2 linked regions of the Cricetulus griseus genome follow. The protein of the gene in region 1 purifies or fractionates together with the protein of each later gene. This does not show direct contact. Links are inferred from orthologs where the notes say so. Each region holds a gene or a part of one and is shown on either strand. Other genes may lie near its edges. The genes, in order: Hspd1 and Sirt3.

What was found.
Region 2: the proteins of Hspd1 (region 1) and Sirt3 purify together in Homo sapiens (affinity purification with mass spectrometry; 3 studies listed by BioGRID and IntAct, counting the BioPlex papers as one, with this or other methods). This does not show direct contact. The link is inferred for Cricetulus griseus from reciprocal best matches to the Homo sapiens genes HSPD1 and SIRT3.

Annotation. Positions count from the first base shown.
Region 1 is NC_048595.1:409,526,653-409,531,065, reverse strand, and holds the start of Hspd1 (60 kDa heat shock protein, mitochondrial), read left to right. Parts: upstream 1-1,580; 5' UTR 1,581-1,705; exon of another isoform or gene 1,706-1,786; intron 1,787-2,587; 5' UTR 2,588-2,589; coding exon 2,590-2,763; intron 2,764-4,282; coding exon 4,283-4,413. Other genes in the region: MOB-like protein phocein, read right to left, coding at 272-436, 1,069-1,071. UniProt on the Homo sapiens protein: Chaperonin implicated in mitochondrial protein import and macromolecular assembly. Together with Hsp10, facilitates the correct folding of imported proteins.
Region 2 is NC_048596.1:60,311,528-60,316,012, forward strand, and holds the start of Sirt3 (NAD-dependent protein deacetylase sirtuin-3, mitochondrial), read left to right. Parts: upstream 1-1,475; coding exon 1,476-1,530; intron 1,531-4,485. Other genes in the region: Psmd13 (26S proteasome non-ATPase regulatory subunit 13), read right to left, coding at 721-815.

The sequences.
Region 1 (4,413 bases):
ACAATGTCTTACACACACACACACACACACACACACACACACACTTCTCATGTGTACATTTTGCCTTTTTTTATAGAATGCCTCTCCATTCCTTAGAAAAATAAAACAACTCCACAATGGTTTTCCTTCATGCGCGGTTCTTTGTGAAGTTAAATTATTTCAAAAAAAGACATCTACTATTTTAAAAGCCACTTGGTAATCTAGGATTTTCTACTCCTTTCCTTCCATATCACATATAAGACTCAGTACTGCTGTAGTAGCTCCCAGTTACCTTTCCTTTCGAGCCTGATCCCACAGCCACTACTGTTGCTTGCAATACTTTTCCTTGAGACTTTTCTGGAAGCATAATGCCACCTTTGGTCACAGTTTCGGCGGCACTCCTTTCAACCAATACTCTGTCAAAGAGCGGTAGAAACTTTTTGAAAGCTTGTCCAGCCTGCGGAGAGAAACGTGTTCAAACGGACTGTCATTGCGTTCGCAGCGTCAGACCACGAACAGTTAATACCGCTGCATGCCTTAACCTATAACGGGTCAAACGTCCCAAACTGACAAGAAAAATCTAGGTGTGCCTTTAGAAAATATTCTTGGATGTTTCATACCCTGTATATTTTAGTGCGTGTGGGTGGGTGGGGGGGTGTCTTCATTGCCCATCAGCACCCACACTACCTTTAACCACAACCTTGGTCTCCTCCAAGGTCAAACGTTTTCCTTCTTTAGATTTCTTTTTTTAATTCTAGTAACGCCGGGGAGAGAGTATCAATTTTTGAGCTGGGTCATATATTCTCCAACACAGTATACGTCCATGAAAGCCCTGGCAGGGCAGGTGGGCTACTGAGTGTGCATCCGGGTTCCCGCCCCCTACCCCGGGCTCCTGCAGCACACGTGCGTGCAAAGAGGCCGTGGTGGAGAACCGCATCGGACAGGCCTCGCTCCTGCGGAACCCGGGCGGGCGCCGAACACTGCGTGGCCCCCTGCCCTGCCGGTGCTAAACCGGCACACAGGGGGGGACACCGTGGGTCGCGGGGGACCCCGACCCGCAGGCAGGCCTGCCAGCCCAGGGACACTCACCATGACTCGCGCCGCCGCCGCTCGGACTCTGCACTCGGGCCGCCGCTGCAAGGAGAGTCCTGAGGTCCGGCTCGGGACACGTGAAAAAGCCACGCAGCGCGCAGGCGCAGGCGCACGCGGCCCCCCCCCGCGAGCGTGAGAGAGGGCGGCCACGGCAGCGCGCGCGCCGATTGGTGGCGAGGACTCCGCGCAGGCCGCCGAAGGGGGCAGCCGGAGGCGGAAGAAAAGGGGCGCGCTTTCTAGGCTTTTCCAGGCGGCCCGCTGAGGTGAAAGAACGAGCCCTTCGTCCTCCTCCCGGAAATGACGCCACCTGACCCTTGACCCACGGGAGGCGCAGCGCCCTTCCGGAAGGTTCTAGAACGGAGCGAGGCCCAGGAACCAGCGTAGGGCGGCGGGAGAGGGTTGAGCCCGCGGGGCTGAGACCGCTCGGGTACGGGGGGGGCGGGGCCACCCGCGCCGCATGCTGATTGCAGGGCCCGGGCGTGGGAGGGAGCGGGGCGCGCGCGCACGCGGGGCCGCGGGGCGGGGCCGCGGAGGGAGGGGACTCGGACTCATTGCGGTGCGCGCTCTGCGCTCGGTCCCTCACTCGCCGCCGACGGCCTGCTTCGCCTCGTGCCCTCCCGCCGCCGCCCCGCAGGTACACGGCCTCGACGTGCATGGCGCCCGGGAGCTCGCCGGCCTGCTTCCGGCTGGGCCCGAGCATGGCGGGCTAGGGGACAAGGCTGGCAGCGACGCCGCAGGCTCTGCCGGCCTGTCCAGGCCCGACGGGGCCACGCGGGTTTCATCACGTGCGGCGGGGACCACGCGACCCAGGCCAAGCGCGGGAGCGAGGACGGGCTAGGGTGGGAGCCACTTGGGCCCTCTGGTGCCACCTGCGCCTGGCGCACTGCAGGACTCTTGTCGGAGGGTGGTCGCGGTCCCTTCTCGTCCCCTCTGGCTGCGGGGATGCGGCGCCTCTACTTTGACCTTGCCTGGGGCTCCTTGTCGGGCAGACACGTGGGGCCGCGCGAATGGGCTGAGCTGCGGTCCTGGGTTTTGCGGCCTTGCTAGTTGCTGTGCTACCGTAGCTCCGGGTGGACACCTGGCGTCACTTTTCCTGAGCGGGGTTTTGCACCGTCATGAGTACTTGTATAGTTCCCTGTGCTCTTGCATTTGGAACCTGCCTCGCTTACGCCAGCTTGATTTTTTTGCCCCCCCCACACACACTTTTGGAGTGGATCTGTTCCTAAGGCCGCTTTGCCAGTGAAAGATTAACTCGCGGTGGCAGGAGTGGGTGGCCATGGGGAATGGTTTTGTGTGCTAGGGCTGCAGGTCAAGCGAGCATGGGGGCGGCCTCCTTAATCCGTTGCTAGCAATTGATGTCCTGAAGCTGCAGCGCCGTGTGTGGCCCAGGCGTGGCGGTTAGCAGAGGACTGCCAAGCTCCAGTCTAGCTAGCCTCCATGTTCTGAAGCACAGGTGGACAAGTTTGTCCGTAACTAGTAGTGATCCTTTGCTTTTTTTTTTCCCCCCCTCTCCCAGAAATGCTTCGACTACCCACAGTCCTTCGCCAGATGAGACCAGTGTCCCGGGCGCTGGCTCCTCATCTCACTCGGGCCTATGCCAAAGATGTAAAATTTGGTGCAGATGCTCGAGCCTTAATGCTTCAAGGTGTAGACCTTTTAGCGGATGCTGTAGCTGTTACAATGGGGCCAAAGGTATCAGTATACTTTAAATCGTGTTAATAAAAGAATAGTATTCTGTAGCTGCAAATTAGACAGTATTTGTTAACAAGTTTTATGAAAATCTAATTTGAGTGTAGTACATGTTAAGTGATTTGGGGGTGTTATTTAGGAGTTTCGTTAGTTGGTGGCCTTAATACTGCTGCAGCCGATTTGGGGGACTTTTGTGCAACATGATGTAATAGAGTAGTAATAGCTCAAGGAGGATTTTCAAACTTTAGGCGTAATTAATCTTGTGTGAATGCTTGCATTAAATTTTGGATCCTTTCCCAGGAGTTAGAGGGTATAGAGGGGAAAGGACAGCTCAAGACTAGTAACACCTCAGAGTGTAATTGTAGATGTGAGGTTTTACTTAACTGTACTGAAGTATTACAGTATGCATACAGTAGATGCGATAGCATAGAGTTTAGATTTATTTATATTTTTATGTGCATTGGTGTACTGTCTGCGTGTATACCCATGTGAAGATCCCAGAACTGGAGTTACAATTGTGAGTTGCTATGTGGGTGCTGGGAATTGAACCTGGGTCCTAACCACTGTGGCATCTGTCCAGCCTAAGTTAATATTTGTGACTTCGTTTGCATTGTTCTGTAACTCACCATCACACATCTCCAGAACCGTTTTCACTTGCACATGGAAAAGGCTATCTGGTCTCCCATTTATCCCTCCATTGTGCATACCTCATGATTTCTCTGCCATTTCCACATTCCAAAAGTTTGGTTTGGGGTTTTTAAGAGTCTCGATAGCTTAGTCAGACCTCTAACTCGCTTTGTACCAAGACTATCCTTGAACTGATTGTCCCAGGTATGTAACAGTTTAGTATACTATTCATCTGGTGTTTATTGAGACAGGGTCTTTAGCCATAGCTGACCTGGAACTCCTGTGGACCAAGCAAGCTTGAACCTTGAATCATTGCTGAGATCCAAGGCTGGAGTCACTCATCTGTGTGGTTGAATAAGGAGCCATAGTACTTTGAGGACATAATTGGATGTGGGGCACAGTTGCTTTAAATTGACGTTAAAGCCATCTAAAGAGCTTCGTAAAGTGCTGTTTATATAGGTCAAGACAGAATAGCTTGGTTCAAATCCAAGTTGCCAATACTGTTGGTGTCAGTTTTGAAGTTTTGAATTGCATGAGCAGGAAACAGTAAGTTAAGAACAAACTTACTGGCTGATATTTAGTGAATGGATGTTCAAGTAAATTGTACTTAAAAGCAACAGTTAATAAAAAAGTAATAACAGTTCATAACCAAAACTCGTGTACAAGTGATGGAAGGGTGTTCCAGGATTGGTGATTGTCACCTGTGCTATCTTGTTTAATAGGTGGCATCTCTTTGGGTGGGTGGGGGATGTTATCTACTGTTGTACCTCAGAGTTCCTTTTGTCTATAGACCTAAGAATGTTGATTAACTTGACCTTTGAGATTCACGTTTCAGGACTGTTAAAAGTGACAACTTTGAAGTTTATGGTTGAGGGTTGTTATTCTGTCATTGTAGGGAAGAACAGTGATTATTGAACAGAGTTGGGGAAGTCCCAAAGTAACAAAAGATGGGGTCACTGTTGCAAAGGCAATTGATCTAAAGGATAAATACAAAAATATCGGAGCTAAACTTGTTCAAGATGTTGC
Region 2 (4,485 bases), on another chromosome or scaffold:
ATTTTTAGGACACTGATGTAGCACATTTCACACAAAGACTAAAGGCTACTATTTAATAGTGCAGATAAAGTGCTCTGGGGAATACAAAATGTTAGCCCACACAGGCAGTTAGATACTCAACACTGAAAACGTCTCTTGAAAACACTAATAGCAGAAAACTGCTGAATACCACCAAAACACACGAACGGAAAGGATCTTTGTGGAAAGGTGTTTCCTCAGGGAAAGCTCTAGATCAATGTCAGCAATCTGTAACTGTTCTGAAGTCCATCTCGTTTCCAATCAAACTCAAACACTAAGGTCTCTCCAGTGGCAAAAAGGCCAATGTGAAATACAACAGAAAGCAGGGACAATGGGGGCTGAATCAAAGGTTGTAGAATCATGAAGAATTTGCAGGCTGTAGACAATCACACCACGGCTTAGGACAAGTTACCAGGGTCTGTGGCAGACCCAGACGCGGTGGCACCCTAGCCTCAAAACTATTTGCTTGTTTGAATTAAGAGCTACCATCACAGGCCAGTCCGGGCCCCCCTTTAGTTAAGACAGTCTGTCATAGCCGGTAAGGCTGCAAAGCAGGGGGTTTAGATTCAGAACCCTGGTAGCAAGCAGCTCTGCTCCTTTGGCTGTAGCTCCTTTTCTTCTGATTCCCTGACCCTCGGGGCTGCTCAGAGCCTCCTGCTGCTCCCAGAGCCCTCTCCCTCCCGCCCACGCCGCAGAGCTCACTTCTTCGTGTACAACTCCTCCAAACGGTGCCAAACGGCGGCCTGGCCCGGCCCGGAGTTCTGGCTCTGCTGTAAGAAGGCCGGCACATCCTTCATGATTGCAGAGAGCTGGGAAGAGAAACACCAAGTACTCGGAACCGGCAGGGATGGCGGACGGAAATGCTCGCTCACTTCCGGCACCGCGTTGCGCGGGGCATGCCGGGAGCTTCCCAGTAGCCCCGCCGATCGCGGTCGTCAAGGTAACCGCGTTCTTGGCTTGGGCCAAACTTGTCCCGCGTGTTCGGCCCCGCCCTTGAGGCGTTAGCGTAGAGGTGCCCGGGGACAGCTGGTCCCCGAGTGGTCTCAAGTCTTCCGACGTGGGTCCTCTCAAACTGGGATGGCGTCCGGCGAGGACTAGGTGTGATCAAATTCCTGACCGCGGGAAGCGCTCAGAGAGCATTAGTTATCATCCACCCGGTCTAGAAGGTCGAGCGCAGGGTAAAACGATGACGCCTCCGAGTTTGGCTTCCCAACCAATAAGCCAGAGTCTCACAGAGCGGGAAGCTGGCCGCAGCGAGCATACACATCCCCTTCGGCACGGCGGGTTAACGTGCCGGGGGCGCCGGGCTGGGCACCATGTGAGGGGCGGAGCGTTGGTGCTGGGGGGCGGGACCTGGCCGAGGGGGCGGGGTAAGGGTATCGGGCGGGGCTTGGCGCAAGGGGGCGGGGATTCGGATGGCACTTGACCCTCTAGGTGCCGTCTCCCAGCAGAGCATCATGGCGCTGAGCGGTCGACTGGCTTTGGCCGCGCTCAGACTGTGGGGCCCGGGAGGTGAGCCACGGCGGGGAAGCCACGGGGTCCCTCAGATAGGCTGTCAGAGGTGTTTTAGGGGCGGGCAGCGGAAAGCAATTGCGGTAGTGAGAAGCTGGCAGGTGCGCTCTTCCACAAAGCTCGACTGACCGGCCTCATCAGTACCTCATCTCTTTAAAGATTTTTTTTTTTTTTTAATGTAGCTATTTCCATTGCAGCACAGTCTTTGAACTGTTCTGTGGAAGTTCCTTGTATGGATGTCTCATACTTTATGTCACCATTTCCTTATCGAAATAGTTTCTAATCTCGTATTATTGCAAATAACGACGTTTTGAATAACTTTGTTTGCACCCCATTTTGAGCATGAATTCCCAGTAGACCTACTGCCTTGTGTAAAGTTATGTGGTTTGTGTTGTTTTGAGACTGGGTCTCCTAGTCGATACCTGCCTCCAGCTGGCAGTATGAAGGAGGATGACCTTGAACTCCCGATCCTCCTCCTTCCAACTCCAGCTGCTGAGATTAGTCATGTGCCACCACATCCAGCTGTTATTTATGTTTTAATTGTCCCCCATGAAGGTTGTGAGTTTAAAGTTTCACTAACAGTCATACTGTCTGCAGAATAGTAATATGTTTTGTATAGTCCTGAGAATGGTCTATGATAGGCTTATTTTCAGTTTCAAATGAGTGAGTTTATTAAGAGAGAGAAATCATCACATTGGATATTTTTAAAAAATCCAGTAGAAATCTACTGAGGAAACCCCTTTAAGGTAGCCAGGTGGAGCTTCCAGTAAAGAGAGTCGAGGGCAGAAAAGAGTGCCCCGTTTGCTGAAGTTTTTCAGTAAAGGAACAAATAGCAACAGAGAGAGAGAGACAATATCAAGTTGGACACTTGCTGCATCCAACAAAAACCGACAGAGGAAGTTCAGATAGTCAACTGGAGTTCCCAGATGAGCTTTTCCTTGGTGTCTGAGATTCCTCTGTAGGCACTTTTACATGCTGGGATAAATGATAGGAACCTCCTGGAATTGGATCACCTTCTAGCTGTTCTCATGGGCAGTGCTTTTACTCTTGGGTTGTTTTGCTGTTCCTTTCCCTTCCTATCACACAGTTGGGGGAGCCAGCCCATCCAGACCTTGGACTTTGAGACCAACATGGGTCAGAAATGGGAGTTGTCAGCCCAGCCCCCAAAGCCAGCTTTTCAGTAGCTCAAACAACACACAGCAGTTTACCAATATGATGTACAAGTTTGTTTGTTTTTTCTTTTTTCTTTTTCTTTTTCTTTTCCTTTCCCTTTTTCTTTTGGTGCTGAGGATCAAACCTGATCAGGCCTTGTATTTCTTCTGCTCTTGATTTTAGATTTTGGGACTCGTAGGTGACTTCATCCTTTGTCTCTTTATAGTATCTCAGACATTACTTAATGCCAGCCTCTGGTGTCTTCATCCCAGGAGCTTTCTATACCATGTAAATGTACTTTAAGTTATACCTTAAATCTGTTTTAGATATTGTCAGTGACTTTGCAAACTTTTTTTTTTTTTTTTGTGGGCAGGTGACTAAGAAATGTCCCTTATGTGCCCTGACGTGGATATCTGGCAGTTGTCAGGCACTCAGCAATGGTCACAACTTTTCTCTTGACCCTTTTGTATTCTCATATGGTTTGTATTTAAGAGGAGTTCAGCAAATGTTAGGGCAAGAACCGTCCTAGGTGCTATGTGAGATTCGGGTATTTGATGGGAGGGATGTGGGTTTGGAGCCAGAGCTTTCTTTTCCTCATTCTTTATTGTTTTCACTGGGAGCTCCTTGGAGGGTTTCACTGCCTTGGCTCAGCAGAGGGACCTTGGTAAAGTGCGTTTATACCCTACTGTGATACAGAAGGACCTTCTTTAGAAGCCCATCTCTGCAGTGTGGGAGGAGCTGAGGTCTTTCTCCTGTTTGTTGTTGTTCTGTACACTCTGGTGAGAGGTTTATAAACATAGGTTCCTCCAAATCAGACTAAGAATTAGGAGTTGGGATGTAATTCTGGGAGAAAGCTCTTGCCTCTTCACCCCCAGAACAACAAAACACCACCAGCAACAGCAACAAAACAAAAGTCATCTTTGGCCTCCTTGCTTTGAGCTTGTCAGCTGAGGCTCAGGGTGCTGCAGGGTTACTCCTGGCTTGCTGTTGGCACACAAGTCCCTGGATAACTGAACACTGTGTGGATAGGGCAGCTGTGTACTGCAGGTGCACAGAGGAGAGAGCTGATAGACACCCTAATAGGAGAGGGAGCCAGCACTGTTGCCTTTAAGAGGAGGGTCAGTGATTATCCTTAGGGTTCAGCAAACATTTGACCTTGTGGGATTATGATACTCCCAAGAGGAGACCATGCTTCTCAGGCAGAATATGCTGGTTGGGACAGGGTTACTTAGAATCACTAGGATTTAGGACATGAAAACAAACAAGCCTTTTGTTTGGCTAAAATGAAGGATTAGAACTGTCACTAGAATGGCAATGGTGTGAGGAGAGCTTCTGGGAAAGCAGGTGGCATGATGAGAAGTCAGTTTTGTAAGGAGCAAAGGCAGTGACAAAGAGTAAACCCTGTATTGGTATCATCCTGCTAGAAGAGAGGCTCTGAACTGCCCTGTCTGAAGATGTACTGTTAGCATCTTTATTCTTGATTGTATTATGAGTAAAAGACATACTCTTAGTTGCCTGCTTTATGGCTGTATTAACTTTAGCCATTTATTTGGGGAGGGCCAATTTGATGTTTAATCTGTTCCACCATCTGATTGGAGAGGCCTCTATCCTGGTCATTAGGGCCATCTGATGGGAGAATTGGCCCAGTGTCTCAGCTCTCAGTGTGAGGCTGATGGTCCTGAATTCAGGGCAGATTGCCATGGTGATGGAGACATTGCTGCTTTGTTAGATATCAAGAGAGTCCTGAGTGAAGGCTGTAGACTCAGAAAACTTCCAGGGCCTTGTGAAGCTGCAGTGCCCAGT